Linked DNA regions of Oreochromis niloticus. The protein of the gene in region 1 interacts with the protein of each later gene in a pairwise test. Links are inferred from orthologs where the notes say so. Each region holds a gene or a part of one and is shown on either strand. Other genes may lie near its edges.

Region 1 (8,254 bases):
TACTAGTCCTGGGAAGTGGCAGATGTCTTTTTGCGTTATTCTCCGTGCCCTCGTCTTCTCAGTCCTGAACTCCTTCAATCACTCAACCAATCAACATTGTCTCTTCTCAGGAAGCCCCCCACCCCACCCCCACCCCACGTCGCACTTAATCCCCGCTCCCCTTCCCAAGTGTAACCCCATTCCCTCCCCGATGATCATTCTCCTCCCCTTCCAAGTGAGGATGAAGACGGATCACCGCTCGGGCTCAGACTCCAGGGCCAGCGCCCGCTTACGCTCACGACACTGTTTCTTGTGGGCCGGCCAGTCCCTCTGCTGGCACTGGGACCCGCAGTAGCGCGCCACCTGGCAGCGGCCGCATATGTTGAACTCCCGCAGCTGTGGACAGACAAGGAAGAAGATCATCTTTGGCTCTGAGAGCACAAAGCTTTCGAATGGGAATGCTTTGCTACACGAGTTGGAATACATACCCTCCTCTCAATGAGCGAACAAGGAGGGTAGTGACACTCGTAGTAGGTGCAGGAACACTCCTCTTCCTCCACCAGCTCCCCATTTGCGTTGTAGTAACGTGTGCGACTCAGCTCCAGATATTGCTCCTCCACAGGGTCGGCTGGTACCTGCTGGATGGCCAGCCAGTAGAGGGACTGCTCTCTGTACAGATAACATGAGAAATGTTAGGCATGCATTACTTGTTTGGATAACCCTGGAATAAATCACAAAAGGATTTAAGACTCATTTCCCCTTAACATCTGCCCGGTTTGTCCTTTCTAGCATTTTCACATGTACCTATAACCAATGTTTTACCTCTGCTTGCTGGAAATCTCCTCTGGTTTAGGGCTCCAGCCTACTGGAACCAGTCGCAGGTTGTCTAGTCGGTTGTCCACTGTGACAGAGTTGATGTGGATAACTTGAAAACTAGGGGCGATGCCTCCTCTGTGCTTCTCCCTGGGTAAAGACATTAAAAGTTAGCCAATCTGCAACCAGCAGGGCAAAAATCTGATCTTGGATAAGAAGAGTGTTTATTCCAAGGACTCCTCAGTAAGGAGCTGATGCTAGCTCAGAACTTGAGCTTTGAAGACGTATATGAAGCATCATTGAAAGCCAAGTCCTCTACAGAGCTTGAGCATGCACTAGTTTACTATACAACCTCCATTTCTCACGACTAGTGATGAAAGTGGAAAGCTGGCTCGCTAAACAGTTGATGGTTTAAGTGACACCTGTGACGCCGCCCTGAAAGAATTCCTTTTGCAATTTTAGCCTTTCCCCTACTTTTGTTAAGCTGAAGCAATTCTCATCAGCACCCACTTATCCTATCTGACAAATTTTAGACTGACTAAACTAAGATGAGCCTTAGGATGGAGGGTGCTTTCACAAGAAGCATGCTCACAGATTTTCCAGCAGAGGAAAAACAACCACAGAAGAAGCTACTTCCAGCAGGCAGCTCCACATGTTTGATTTGGCAGGTTGTCTATTTTTAAATGCCAGATTCAAGCCCATGAGCTAAAGATCAAACCTGAGACCTGTCGCTTGTTAAAGCAGTGTGTAAACGACTACGGTATGGCGTCAAAGGAAAAAAAACAAAACAACAACAACAAAACAAACAAAAACGCCTTGACACAGTTTAAACAGACTTACCAGAGCAGCTCGTGCAGCGGCCTTCCTGCCCAGCGGCCTTTGCCGACGTCAAAAGCATAAGCAAAGATCTTAGCTCCATTGCCATCTGCATCTACTTCCATGCGTGCCTAGAAACAGAAAAACATCGCTCTATATTTTTTCTCCTCAACTGTATCCGGATATCAGAGCAGTAGTGAAAAATCAAACACTTACCTCAAAGGCATAGTTCTCCACCAGTGGTATGTCCTGCTCATCGATCAGCGTGTACTTTGTCTGAAATAAGACAATTCAGGGTTATTTTCATGTTTACACCTACAACTGCAACAACAGCATCCCCACTCTCAGGGGAGCTTCATTGTTTGTGAATTAGCACTAGCAGAGTCATAAACAGGGGCACTACTTCTAGGACAGGTTTCAACCTTCCAAACTTTTTACACATGCACAGCAGCAACACCTTTATGAAGCAGTCCCAGCTGTCTCACAGACATCTGAGCTCTTCTCCAGCAACACAACATCAAACAGATGAAACCTATAAATGTGACACTTTCTTCTTTCTATGATTGCATGTGTGTGTGGCGTTTTCACGAGTGACATGTTTACAGCTGAGTGACCGGAGCCCTGTCATTCAGCAGGTGGGCAGCCGGCTGGTCAGGGCTCAAATACGGTTTATTCCCAGTGTGTCCCGTGACTCCAGCGGCAGCAGCTGGGAGCGCTTTCTGACCCACCGCTCGCCACAGTTTCTGCTTCAAGCGTTAATTAGTACGATTAAAGCCAAAGCCGACACAGGCACAGATGTTGGGCAGTGTCGTCCTGCCGGTGCTTTGTCACACTGCACAAAAGAATCAGTTGATGGCAATGGCTTCCTCATTAGCCGACACTTGAGGGTAATCCTAGTAACAAGGCTAGCGTGGCTCTGCTAACTGCACCTCCGAGTCTTGGGTATGACACGACCGCCGAGGGGTTTCCACTCCACCGACAGCGGCTGTAACAAAAACTGAGCACGTGTTTACGTTTCTGGCGCTGTTTGATCGTTAAATGTTAGCCAGCGGCTAGCGTAACGCGCTACATGCTAACTAGCGTTAGCGGCGGAGTTTGAGAAACCAGTCTGGCTCGGCACGGCCGGCTTTTCTAATCCGCTCAAACGCCTTTAAATCGGTAAAGCCGAACTACTCCCGCATTTGCGACTGCTTCATAATAATCAACTCGGTTGGCTAGAGCTGATTGAGCATCGCTAACTATGTCTTTTCTGGTGACTTTTCTCTTCCCCGCGGGCCCTCCCCCGGCCGCACATGGCAGCCCTGGGATCCAGCTCACCTTCCCGGCCACACGGCCGAGCCGTACGATCCCGAGCTTGAAATCCGACATCAGGAGGACGGGCGGTGGCGACAAGAAGAGGCGCAGGGTCCAGCCTAAACTGTATTCAGGTTCAAAACTCGCCTCTCAGCCCCGGTTGCCAGGTTGCGTTAAATGGTTGGGTATATTCTCTGAGTCCGGATCTCTCCGGCAGCAGCCCAGCCTCGGTGACACACCGCCGCTGGCGCAGGAAAGCCGAACAAGCTGCTGCTGCTGCTGCTGGGAGGGGCGGGGCGGGAGGAACCTCTAACCGCAGCGTCCAATCAAGCGTGGCGTTAAGGCTTTTTAATACAACACGTCACCTTACGCTGCCAAATAGGAAGCGGCAGTTTCAAAAGACCGCCCGTTTTCAGTTACAACGTCATCACACTCTCGTGACCACTTCCAGCCATTTTCGCGCGAAATGTTTGATGTCTGGGTGGGATTATTGCAGAGGGCTTTGACGTCATGATGCGTCGTTTGCTGCTAAATTTGGCGACAGGCATTGAATGTGCATTGCGTAGGAGGCTAACAATGATTCATAAGGTAAACATTGAGCCCAGTGGAATAAAAGAAACTGGTAGACATGGATAAAAGAACATCATTAAGACTGGAAAAATAGAGATAATTACAATAAAGAGAAAAGAACAAAAAAAAGTCAGTAGAAAGCTGAGCCACTTACTGTCCAGGATCAAGGATAAAGTACACAGTGTATTCAGTTTATAGCTCAATGCAAGAACAAAAAATAATAAAATGAGAAAATTGGCCAGTGTTCAGATGATAGTTTACCATCACTTTAGCATCTAAGGAGCAAAAAACAAATTGAAAAACCTGATATGGAGAGCTTAAAAAGGTAATTGCTGTTCTTTAGGTTTGTGAGGATGTTTGATCTTTCATTGATTAATTTGTTTTACTAACAAAAGGTGGAGAGTCCTGGTTATTTAAACCTTAGTGAGGGTTGTGTCCCATGGATGTGGTCATTAACCAATTATTGATCATGTGAGTCATCACATCATCAAGGTGTGAAAAAAGGGTGAACTATTCACCATCACCCGGGGTTATGGGTGAAATCACTGTGGGATCTTGCCTCAACCAACCATGTGACCCACTGAAGTCATCTGAGTCAAGGCTGAATGTGGAAGGGGGTTTAAGAGCCTGGGAAGGGACCTCAAGACTATGTTCTGGTAAACCACCCTTTCTGTTCAACGATGGTCGTTTACAGTGGATGTAGATGGGTGCCTTTACTCTTCTCTCAAGCAATCTGCCATCTCGGTCCAAAATGTGAACACTTTGCGTCCTCAAAAGACCTGCCATTGTGCTTTAAGTGCAGGCTTAGAGATGAGTCTTGGGCCCATGTGTTTGTGGTTTATTTGCAGTTTGGTTTCTCTAATACTGAGGTATGAACATGCCTCACTGCACTGCCCAGCATACACTATGTTGTTTACCTTGTGTTTGGGAATTTGGAGAAAATTCTTCCAAGTTTCTCTGACAAACCTGCTACACAAGGGTAAACAGTATTGCTGTCCAGTTGTCTTTCTGTTTGTCCCTAGTTGTCCCTTTGATGATTTAATCAAGGCCCAGTTGAGATAACCACATGTTTCAAGAGCTTTCTTTACATGTGTGGAATATAGCTGACCTAGCCAGACCTACCATGACCTGGACGACTGTGAACCTACACAGACACACTGAACCTGATATAGTTCTTTGAAGATTTTGAAAGATCGGTTTCTTTTTACAATCACTTACTGACTGCATAATGTCTTGATGCATGCTCAATCACCCGGGTAAGTAAATCTCCAAAAGCTGATTCTGTTCATCTGGACGTAGCGTTTTGTGGGAGAAACGTTTCGTCACTCATCCAAGTGACTTCGTCAGTCTCAACTGACTGCAGGTTTCCCCAATCTTATAAACAGTACATTTGCATAATGACTGAAACCAGCCCACTGAAAGAACAATGGGCTTAATGGAAGGCATTTCTTCCTTCATGTATGTCAAACTTTCTGTGCCACTTGTTGCTACGCAATCCCATTACATTTTGGCTTTTCACCACCTTATACTGGATTCTGTGTTTGTCAGCAATGGTGATATGGTGTAAAATAAATGCACTGTTCCCGTATGAGTGATCTTTTTCATTTTGTTGCTTCAGTTATTTCAGCTCAGTTTTTACTTCCAAATACTGCTTCATTTCAGTCTTTTGTTATGTGTGTTGAATCACGCTACAGTAAGCTGTAATTCTACACGCCAGCATTCAGTCATGAGAAACAGAAATTCACAGGTCCTTATCCCCTCCTGTGAAAAACTAAGTAGACCTAGTGACTGAGTAGCTTGTAGAGCCACGTTTAGCAGCTATAACTTGAAATACTGGTTTTCTGTATGGGTCTATCCGTCTTACCCCACTCTTCTTTATGACGTACTATTCGTTTACACATAGCTCTCTTAAGGTCACACCACAGCATTTCTGTCTGGACTTTGACTGAGCCATTGCAACACCTTCATTCTTTTCTTTTTCAGCCACTCTGGTGCAGATTTGCTGCTCTGCTTGGGTTCATTGTCCTGTTGCATGATCCAGTTGTAGCTAAGCATTAGCTGTCCTGGACAGACAGCCTCAACAGACAGGCTGACCAGCTCTGTTCAAATGAACGAGAAGACTTTGTTCAAATGCTTGTCTGTTCATTTGTTAGCAGGAATAATCAAAAGGATTTACATGAAAAAATAAAATAAAATTACCAGAAGTGGAGTCTAATTTTGCTGCTGTGTTTGCGATGATTGTCATGTTGAATGACTCAGTTTTAATCAAGCTTTAGCTGGCCTCACATTTCACTCTAGAATAATTTGTTCTCCAGAGGAGTTCATGATCAACTCAATGACTGACAGACGTCCAGCTCCTGTGGCTGCAAAACAAGCCCACATCCCCCACATCTCCCACCTCTCTGCTTGACAGAGAGTATTAGGCATTTGTGCTGATATGCTGTGTTTGGTTTTCTCCAGACATCTCCAATCTGGTCTGGTCTGTCCAAAGGACATTGCTCCACAGGTCTTGTAGTTTGCTTGACTTTGCAAATCAATGTGCAGATGGTGGATTTGCATGAACACACATGTATGCTCCAAACTATCCAGCAAACTACCAATATATGTGCTTTTCCAGAGGTCGTCACATCTGATTATCAGTAAATCAAATGCACGTCTTTAACATCCAGGTGCTACTTAACCCCTTAATTCCTCGAGAACCAGCCATGGGGCTAAGAGAAAACTTTCCTCTTCACATGACAGCACATGGCAGTGTACAACAGGTTGTATCAAAATCAGAGGGTCTGTGGTGGGTTCTGTTTATGTTTTAGTCTTGACATTTGTACAGTTAACACCTACAGATATCCACAAACACCAAGAACTTGGCAACAGTAGGAAGGGAAAATTCCCTTTTAACATGATGAAAGCTCCAGGAAAACATCAATCTGCTGCTGTCTGTTGGGATTGAAGAGAATGAGAAGAGAAAAATAAGAGTATAGAGACAAAGGATAAAACCCGAAATATGGACATGCTCCCATCTTTTCAGATGGGGACTGAAAAGATGGGAATGAAGAGGAATCCTCAGAGTCCCCCAAGCAGCTTGAGACTACAGCAGCAGAGGAACCCCAGGGTCACCTGGTCGAACCCTAACAAGAAGCTTTATCAGAACAGAAACTGTTATGCCTAGAGAGTATCTGTCTTCTGAATCCAGACTGGGAGCTTGTTCCACAGGATTGTGATCTGAAAGCTGAAGAATCTGCATCCCAAACTTCATTTAAAAATCCAAGGAACAATAAGTAAGCCTGTAGTCTGTATTCTCTTTGGATAATATGGTAATTATGAGGTCTTTAACATATGGTGGGGCCTGGTTATTCAATACTTTGTATCCTGGAGGTCATTAACCTAAGTCATTTTAAATCATTACTATTAAAGTAATACTTGGTTCAAGAGAGCTCTGACTTTTAGCAGCCTGGCTACATTGCTGAAAAGAAATCTGTGGTTGTTCCTGTTTATCTCAATCAGTGACAAATATTAAGACATTCTAGCACTTTGGAGGTTTTCTAAACACCATTTCCTCACCACCTTCTGAGTTATCTGCTCTAAGATGTATATTTGTAAGTTATACCAAAGATTCAAGCCTCTGTGATTTGTTGCTTTTTCTTATTTTTTATGCTATTAAAAAAGATATCAGAGGAGGAAGTAGATATAGTGTAATTACATTTATTAAGAGCTGATCAAACAAAAGGGGGTTTTCAGGAACTACTAACCCAATTCCAAAAAAGTTGGGAGGCTGTGTAAATTGTAAATAAAAACAGTCTGCAATGATTTGCTAATCTCGCAAACCCTTATTTAATTGACAAATTAAATAAGGGTTGCACTAACACAGGTATAATTCTGTCATGGAAATTACTGCACTGGCTCAGGAACACTTCCAAAAACCATTGCCTATCAACACCATGCATCCAAAAGGTTAGGATAGCTCCATCACGCAAAGAAGAAGCCATATGTTCTTTGGTCAGAATTTGAAATTGTTTTTGGAAATTTTGGATGCCGCATCCTCTAGACTAAAAAGGACTGGGACCATTCGGCATGTTATCAGCACTCAGTTCAAAAGCCTGCACTTCTATAGTGTGAGGTGCAACGTTTCTCTACCAAAAGCCCATCAGCCAGCCGTCTTAGTTTCTACCTTTATGGCCTGTTGTTAAAAGAAACACAACCCTGTCCCAAACATTTTTGACATCTGTTGCTGCTGTTAAATTCAAAATTACTTTTCCAAGTTCAAACATTTTGTTACTTTGTACTTTGTAGGACTCAGAAGCAGCATTGAACTCAAAATACAGCTTTATTCATGGACTTCCCTACATAAAAATATAAAAGAACTTAAACTGGGGAGATACTAGAAAATTGCTAACTAGAAAGTTACAAAGGTGAGACAAGGAAAACTAAGACAATATATACACGCAGATAACGAGGGAGGAGGAAACGGGCGGAAAACACAGCAGAAGCAAACCAGGAATAACAAGACAAGGGAAGTTAAACTCAACACAATGCATACGAGACAAGAGGTTATGACAATAAAACAGAAAACATAGCTACCTTTGAGACAGAGCCTAAACCATGCAAACTTTACAGGAACAGAAGACAAACATGGTGACAGAACACAGAGAGACACAGGGATGTGATCCTTAAAGATAAAATGACCACAAAACACACAGACAAACAACACCTTGGGTCAAGACCCAGGGATCATGACAATTTACAGCATCCTAACAATTTTGCAATTGCAGAAAAGAGACAACAAATT
Region 2 (7,717 bases), on another chromosome or scaffold:
GACTCTGATTTGATACAAAATCAACACGTGTAAATAGGTCTGCAGTTTTAGGGTTATATATTAATGCTTATACAACAATATTATTATTTTAAAAAATACAGCCAACAGGAAAATAACTTAAAGAATAAGGTTATGTTTAAGAATCCATTTTTCTTATTGATGCTAATCAGGAAACGACTTTAGATATTATTAAATAACATCCGACCCTTTTACTACCTACCCACAGAGGTCAGAGGGATCTTTGAGCTCATTGGTCATTGGGTTGGCATGTCATACCTGCTGATTTCTAATCTAGAACATGACCTGCCCTGGAGCAGCATGAGGTACCATGGTGATATACCCTGATAAGAAGTGAACCACAGAAAACCCAGGGTTAACCCTGAAGTTACCCAGATAACACAAAATCCTGCTCCATAATATAGTCTTTAGGTCGAATCGTGAGCACCAACCAATTAATTTTTAACTACACGTGTAACTGCAAAGACCATCAGACAGAATGCAAGTATTTAACATATCCAAATGATTATCTTCACAATGGAACATAAATTGGCTAAAGAGACAATCCTTGGTAAAGACCAAAATCAGAACAAGAAGGGAGTCAATCAGTTTATAGGACTAAAACACAAGATCCCAAAAGGAATAATCATGCTGGTTTGAAATGGGATTAAGTGTCAATGTTGTAGCATGCTATTGATGATGTGATCAACTGGTCAGACACCCAAATCATCCAATTCCCAGTGTTCTCAGCCCTGACCAGTGACCAGCTGGTCAGGCTCATGTAAGCAGCCTCAAGAATGAGGTGGTTCATTTCATGCATGCACAATACATGCACAGTGGCACAGGCAAACAGTCACAGACACTCACAGCTACAAGCTAACATCTTGTTAGTGTGGAAGCTCCTCACTATGAGTGAAAACAAAAAATATACCAAAGTGAATCACTGGGGGACCACCACCTAAACATTCATAACAGCAAACCTCAGTCAGACACTTAAACACCCTCACACAAGTGAACATGGACATTTTAAAGAAGCTAACAAAGGAAAAGTGGCTAGATAGAGCCAACTACACGCTAGAAGCCTCGTTATGAGCAAAGGTCTTAGAGAGAAAATTAGCAAAAATCTGTAAAAATCAGAATCTGCCAATGAAACTGTAATCAGTGCAGCTTAAAAAAATTACTCATAAAAAATGCATGTCAATTTTTTCTAGCAAACTTCACAGCATATCTTTGGGGACTGAGGTTTCATGGTAAGACAAAACCACATCATATTGGTCTAAGAGGTAAAAACTGATTAATGGAGATAATTAATAGCAGATCAATCTCTTAAAGCTGATATTCCCAACCTGCAAATTTTCACAAGTCACAGGTCACCTGCCAAAATTATACCACTTTACCATTAAGGTTGCAAGATTTAAATAAAAGAAATATTCATAACAAATAATAAATTGTGCAACAAACTGAGCTCGAACACTTGGATGACGCTCAGAGAGACCCTCTCTCTGAGGCCTGGTATTGGTTCATCCTGAGTCACCTAACCATCAGATTTAAGGAAGTGTTTGTTATTAACACTCCCTGACGCCATCTCTCCATGGTGCTGAGGACGTCACCCGGGCGATGTGTTACCAAGAACATCTTGTTTATCCTGAGCTTCTCAGCATCAGCACAATGTAAACTAAAGACTGTGCTTTACTCTAGTAATTTGTCCAACTTAAACCTATTTACACTTTGTTTACTGCATTATTATTTCATTTGACATCTTTAATGAGGATTTCCCTTATAGATTTTACACAAACTGGCAGAGTGAGCTATGAAGAAAATCATCTTCCTTTGTTAGTTTTCCTCAACATTTCCCCTTAATTACTCTCTTATTTCTTAAAAACTCCAATAGAGCCAGACTTAATAGCTGTGACATTCCTTTTCTCAATTTCCACTATAATTAATACCAAACACTGCTCAGTTTATTGGACATACTCTTTTAATTTACAACTAAACATCCAGGAAATGAGCCAGACCCATAAAACAAACCAGTGCCTCAATTTGGTAATGGCTCCACGGCTATGACAGCATGTGAAAGCAGGTGACTGGTGTGAGCCTGACAGTGACAAAGGCAGCTCTGTGTGTGCTGCTGAAGGGTCGTCAAGGTGACTTAATAGCAAGGGCATCCTTTCCTCCACCACAGCTGATCTCCCCTGCACACCCCCCAAAACCAAAGACCAGCATCACATAAGCTCACACAGCAGCAGGGCCAGCATTTAAACGCCACCAAACACACACAGAAAAAACCCATCACACACGAAGCCTCTCAGGTGCAAAGAGTAGAGTGAACAGATGTGCATTTGCAATTAATCTCCTTCCCCCCTCCTCTGGATTTTCTAGAAGCAGAAGTGCTGACCCTCTATTTGGTCACTTTCAGTCCTCATTTATTCGCCTTTTGATTTCTTTTTTACTCTTAGTGACTTCTAGCCTCACTCTGGCTGGATTACACTTTTAATTGGAGAATCTGTTGAACAATAGGCGGATCCAGAGCCCCGTTGTTACAGACACCTCTGCTCTCCCCGCTGGATGAAAAGCGCCACGGCACCGCATTAAGTTGTCAATAGCGAGTCCCCGTTAACCAAAATGAATAAACAGTCACTAACAGAGCTTCGGTTCTGGTTTCACCCCGCTGTTTCACACTGAGCTCGGAAGGATGAAGTAACGAGAGAGAGAGAGAGAAAGGGGGGAGAAAAAGCATCAGCGCCTTCCAGTAAACCGCTCAGCGGGCTGACAGGAGCGTGTCATCTACCGGGGAAATGAAACACACACACCGGTCAAAAACACAGCAGAGAGCGCACCTCTCCGTATCTTACCGGGTCACACAGCGGAAGATTCGATAGATGCTCCGCAAATCCGCAAATTGCGTCAGCGCAATAAATCCCGGTGCTTGTGAGTGTGTGTGTGGGGGGGAGAAGCTGGGAACAATCCTCCGTGTGTCTCTTCTCAGGCGCTCTCAGCCAGCAGACACCGATACATCGCCGCCGCCGCTGCTGCTGCTGATGCCTCCGGTAGGAAGAAACCTTGGAGCGCGTCACCGACAGATAGAGAGAGGCAGAGAGAGAGAGAGAGAGAGAGAGAGAGACGTGCACGACGGCAGGGTCTGGTGTCTGTCAGCGGCCGGTGGAGTCTGGGACAGCAGGGGGGGAGAAATGAGTGGGGGGGTAGGCGTCAAACTAGGTTATGACATAAAATAATAAGAAATAAAGAAAGCGCTTATTGGTTTGATATTTCATCTTCAGCAATTAACCCGACATTGAGGCAGAAATTTGGAGCCACATTATTGAGAACCAACTGATTTTTTGTAGGTTTAAGTTAAAAAAGGCAGTAAAGCCTCTTTATCCCAGAGTAAAAAGATAAGCTCCCAGAGCCATACCTGAGTCCTCTATGTGTCATTGTTGTTACTTCACCAGGATCCGGAGCTCTAAAGCAGAAACAGTGGGTTTGGGTTCTACTGCTGGTCACACTTTAAACCAGGTGTTGTTCCAAAAAGTGATTTCCTATGTGTGTGTGTGTGTGTGTGTTTTTTATGGCTAATGTCTTTGCTTATATTGGAAAATAGACTAAAGACAACAGGATTTATGAAGAGTTTGTTCCTGCTGCCCTCTTGGCCAGATCAGTTAAAACAAAAGTGAGCCTTTTTAGCTGGACAAATAAAAGATATATAAAAGTCACTTTGTCAAAAGCTGCAGTTTCTGCCTTGTGATAGAAATTCAGTTCAATTCTTAAGTAGTTTAGCGCCAAATCACAACAGCTGTTCCCTCGTGCTGGTTTATATTGCACAATAAAACAGAGAAAACCCCAACAATCGGATGCACTTGGTGACAGTGGGAAGAAAAAACTCCCTTTTAACAGTGTGACATTTCTGCAGCAGAACCAGGCTCAGGGAGGGGCACCCATACTGTGACCGGCTGTGGGTGAGGGGAGGAAGACAGAACAAAGACACACTGTGGAGGCGAGCCAGAGATTAATGGGTTAACCCTATAATTCATGAGAGATATTTTTGACGTATGTTTCACAGATTATAGGCCAACAGGTCATTTTCAACAGCTGAAATCTGATCAATTATTTGTTTCTTCAGTGACACGTCACACTGTAACAGGGTGTGCTTTACTACTTCTGCCTCGAAAAACCTCAGTGGAGCCAGCTTTAGGTTTAATACAGATCAATATTTTACCATTGAGCAGAATCTCCCTCTGCAGTGTTCCTAAACCTACTAACTCACTTCACTCAGGAGTCACATTCATGCTTTGCTTTTGTCCTCCACCAGGCACACACTCTTATAAAACAATGAAAACGAGTACAGTAAAATTGGGCATGGGGTTCATTTATCCAACAAAACGCTTGAAGTCAATCAAAAATAACAAGGTTTAAACAACTAAAAGCAACTAAAATGTCAGGAACTCTGAATTAAGTTAGGAATACATTTCTTTTGATGCACATTTACACAGCTTTTAATGTATTTATATATTATGAGCATCTACATTCCCAGTGCAGTGAAATTTCCACTTGTAAAACTCTTTTCTTACTTTCTATACACAGATCTATCCACTAATAATGACACTAGTTTGTTGCGGCAGCCGCACTGCCAATTGATTATACAAGACTTTTTTAATGGATGTGCTTTGTGTTTGTATTAATGAGACAGTCATTGAGAGAGAGAGAAAAAGATGGAGGACATCATTAACCTGCAAAAATGTAACCTTTGTAACCCTCCTAATAACGACTCACAGTCCTGTCGGGTTTGGCACCCGTGGACATGGCCCGATGCTGTTTTTTTCTACTCTTTCTTGGCTTGGCGGTGATGTTCTGTCATCAGTGATCCCTCAGTGGTCTCAAGCCTTTTGTTGTTGCTGAGCTCATCAGTGCATATTGCACCAGACTGTTGACCGACCACAGTAACTAGTTTTTCTTTTTTCAAAGCTTAATGATGTCCTCCTTCCTTTGGGCCAGCATCTGTTTGGACTACCACGTTTAAGGTTCCCATAAATTGCAGCCAAATGCAAATGCAACACTTGTAACAAACTCCACACCTTTAATCTTCTTAAATTTGTCATGAAATCTGAAAACAGGCCACCTTTGTCCATGAACCAAATCGCTCTCCATTGTAATCGCATAGTGCATTATTTTGAGAAATTCACTGAACTTTATTCACAGCTTGATTTAATCATTTCCCACTAACTGTGGTGAGGCACAAAAAACATGCAGAAATACTTGACAGAAAACGTAAGTGCCCAATCGCAGAAGTAGGGACCCTTTTACTGCTGTTACACTGGCATCTTTAGATTAAATATGGCAACCCATGCAGCAGCCAGCTGCAATAAGTGGTCAAAAAATGACATTTCTTCAAACGCTACGACTGTTTTAATAAGCATTAGTAAATGATTACCTAATCTATAACGAATGAAGCCATCGCATACAATCTTTCCACTTAGTAAAAGCAGAAAATACATGGCTGTTCCTGACAAGCAGGATCAATACAGTACATTATCATTAAATTAAATATAGTTGCAGTCAGATATACACACTAGGCAGATGAATGAGTCGTATGGCCTTCTTTATTTTTGTAACACTTTATGTCAATGCCAAAAAACCCCACACAGATATAGATGGAAATAGGCACCAATCCCAGTGGAGAAATATAAATATATGCTGATAATAAATTCCTCAGCAGCAGCAGCAGCAGTGGGAGCAGGCTGTAACCTTGGCAGGAGAGTTGACAGGGAGCTTCAGCCCCAGTGGGCAGCCAGAGTGGGAAAATAGAAAGCTGCAGCAGAGACATCCACTGGGGACAAGGCTACAGCGTCACATTTCATATACACGATGCAAGGAGGCCTGCTTGGTTGTGATGGGGCTTAAACCTGGTAACACACAGTGAGGTAAAACACATCTGTATGTGTGAAGCTTCCTGTTTCTGGTTGGTAAGTTGCTGAGAAGTTTGAAATGTGTTATCAAACATACAGGCTGACGATGAGGAAGCAGGTGGTATCTGAGCTGGATATCTGGCGTCCTCTGGTGGTGGCTTAGGGCACATGCAACCAATCAATTTAAAGTGTATTACATGCAACTATGAACATGAAAACTAGAATTGAACTAAATAAACTCTTATATATATATGTATGTATATATATATATATATATATATACATATATAGTTTCAACACTTTTGCATTTGGCTACTGACAATAAAATAAATAATACATAATATGACGGAATATAGTATATCATAAAAAACTCATATATTAATAAATAATCATGATAATAATAAAAATTATGAGATTAAAAAGAAAAAGTGCAGAAATATACAAAGGAAAAAAAATTGAATGTTTTTAAATGTTGAAATGAATCCTCCCAGCTATTCCCAGTATTGGGTACTTCTGGCTGTTTTTTTTTTAATTATTACTTTTGTACCATAAAGCATAAAAGAGTTTACGAGCCACAGAAGCACACTTTACCCCATCACGCAGTAAAATCCTTCTTGCATGCCTTCGAGTTCCTTCGCTGACCTCTCCCAGCAGCACCATCAGCACATTTTTTTCTCTTTGTTTTTCTCTCTCTTTACTTTGTTGTTCTGTTGCACCCGATGTTAATTACGTTGCTGACACTGTGGCTCACAAACAACCCAATGGAAAATCCAACATCCTCCTGCTCATCAGGTGAGTCAGGTTTCCACATAGAAAGAGACAGAGCTGACATTCGCAGCCCAGCGGTTCCTCATTCCTCGCGTCTAGCAGGAATGAGGCTTTGAAAGCAAAGCAGCTGACAAACTGTCCTGTGTACTGTACAGATTTCAGGGGCAAATCCTGTACACTGTAATCACACTGACGCTTGCTTTTGTTTAAGTTAGGCAGTAAATGACTCTAATAAATGGGTTGTAATATGTTGTAAAGCTGCTGTAAATATGGAAAAAAGAAGGCATTAATGACTTTAGTTAGAGCTCGAGACAGCTGAAATGATATAAAATATTGCTGACAAATGCAGTGCTTTAATCAGTTCCTTAAAAAGCTGGTCTTAGTTTATTCCAACTTCATTGGAGTAAATAATAAACTAGTCACTACTTGGTTTTTTGATGGTTACAAATGCTAAATAGAGGAAGTTTGAGTGTGACCGCATGGACTGTACAGGGATCATATGCTCTGGCAATTACCATTATTTCCATCATGACAAAATATGATTAATAATGTGGTTCTACTACCTATGCTACTCCATTCATATCAATTAAGGTTACAAAATATTTACCCTGATTTTAATTCCATTTGAACTTTAACTTTAACCTTCTTTATCCCATTTAGCTGCTTTCTTTTCAGCTTTTTTATTTTATTTTTTTACATTATGTTAGTATCATTCAAACACTAAAATATAGTTAAACTTGTCACTCTGCAATTCTTTCATAAACAACAAATTACAATCAAGTTATAATTTAGGAAAGCGGTACAACAGTGAGTGTCTACAGCTATCTGTAAAACATGGTGGAGGCTGTGTCATGGTTTGGGTTTGCATTTCAGCCAGTGGTGTTTGAGGTCTTGTTACAATCATAAAGAGAGTCGCATTTTCATCCACCATGTAGTTCCATGTGGCCTGTACACGTTTCAACAAACTGCTGCACCTATTTCCCATTTTCTTAGAAAAATATAAAGAAATGAGGGGTGACTCTAATACACAGTACTGTATACTGTTTGAATGA

The links. The genes of interacting proteins can lie anywhere in the genome.
Region 2: the proteins of zmynd19 (region 1) and enox1 interact in binary tests that used the Homo sapiens proteins (3 or more experiments, as listed by UniProt). The two-hybrid records come from large-scale screens. The link is inferred for Oreochromis niloticus from reciprocal best matches to the Homo sapiens genes ZMYND19 and ENOX1.

The regions. Positions count from the first base shown.
Region 1 is NC_031972.2:20,644,985-20,653,238, reverse strand, and holds the start of zmynd19 (zinc finger MYND domain-containing protein 19), read right to left. Parts: upstream 3,281-8,254; 5' UTR 2,977-3,280; coding exon 2,926-2,976; intron 1,885-2,925; coding exon 1,825-1,884; intron 1,740-1,824; coding exon 1,633-1,739; intron 943-1,632; coding exon 802-942; intron 649-801; coding exon 468-648; intron 376-467; coding exon 232-375; 3' UTR 1-231. UniProt on the Homo sapiens protein: May be involved as a regulatory molecule in GPR24/MCH-R1 signaling.
Region 2 is NC_031987.2:29,212,907-29,220,623, reverse strand, and holds the start of enox1 (ecto-NOX disulfide-thiol exchanger 1), read right to left. Parts: upstream 3,139-7,717; 5' UTR 2,850-3,138; intron 1-2,849. UniProt on the Homo sapiens protein: Probably acts as a terminal oxidase of plasma electron transport from cytosolic NAD(P)H via hydroquinones to acceptors at the cell surface.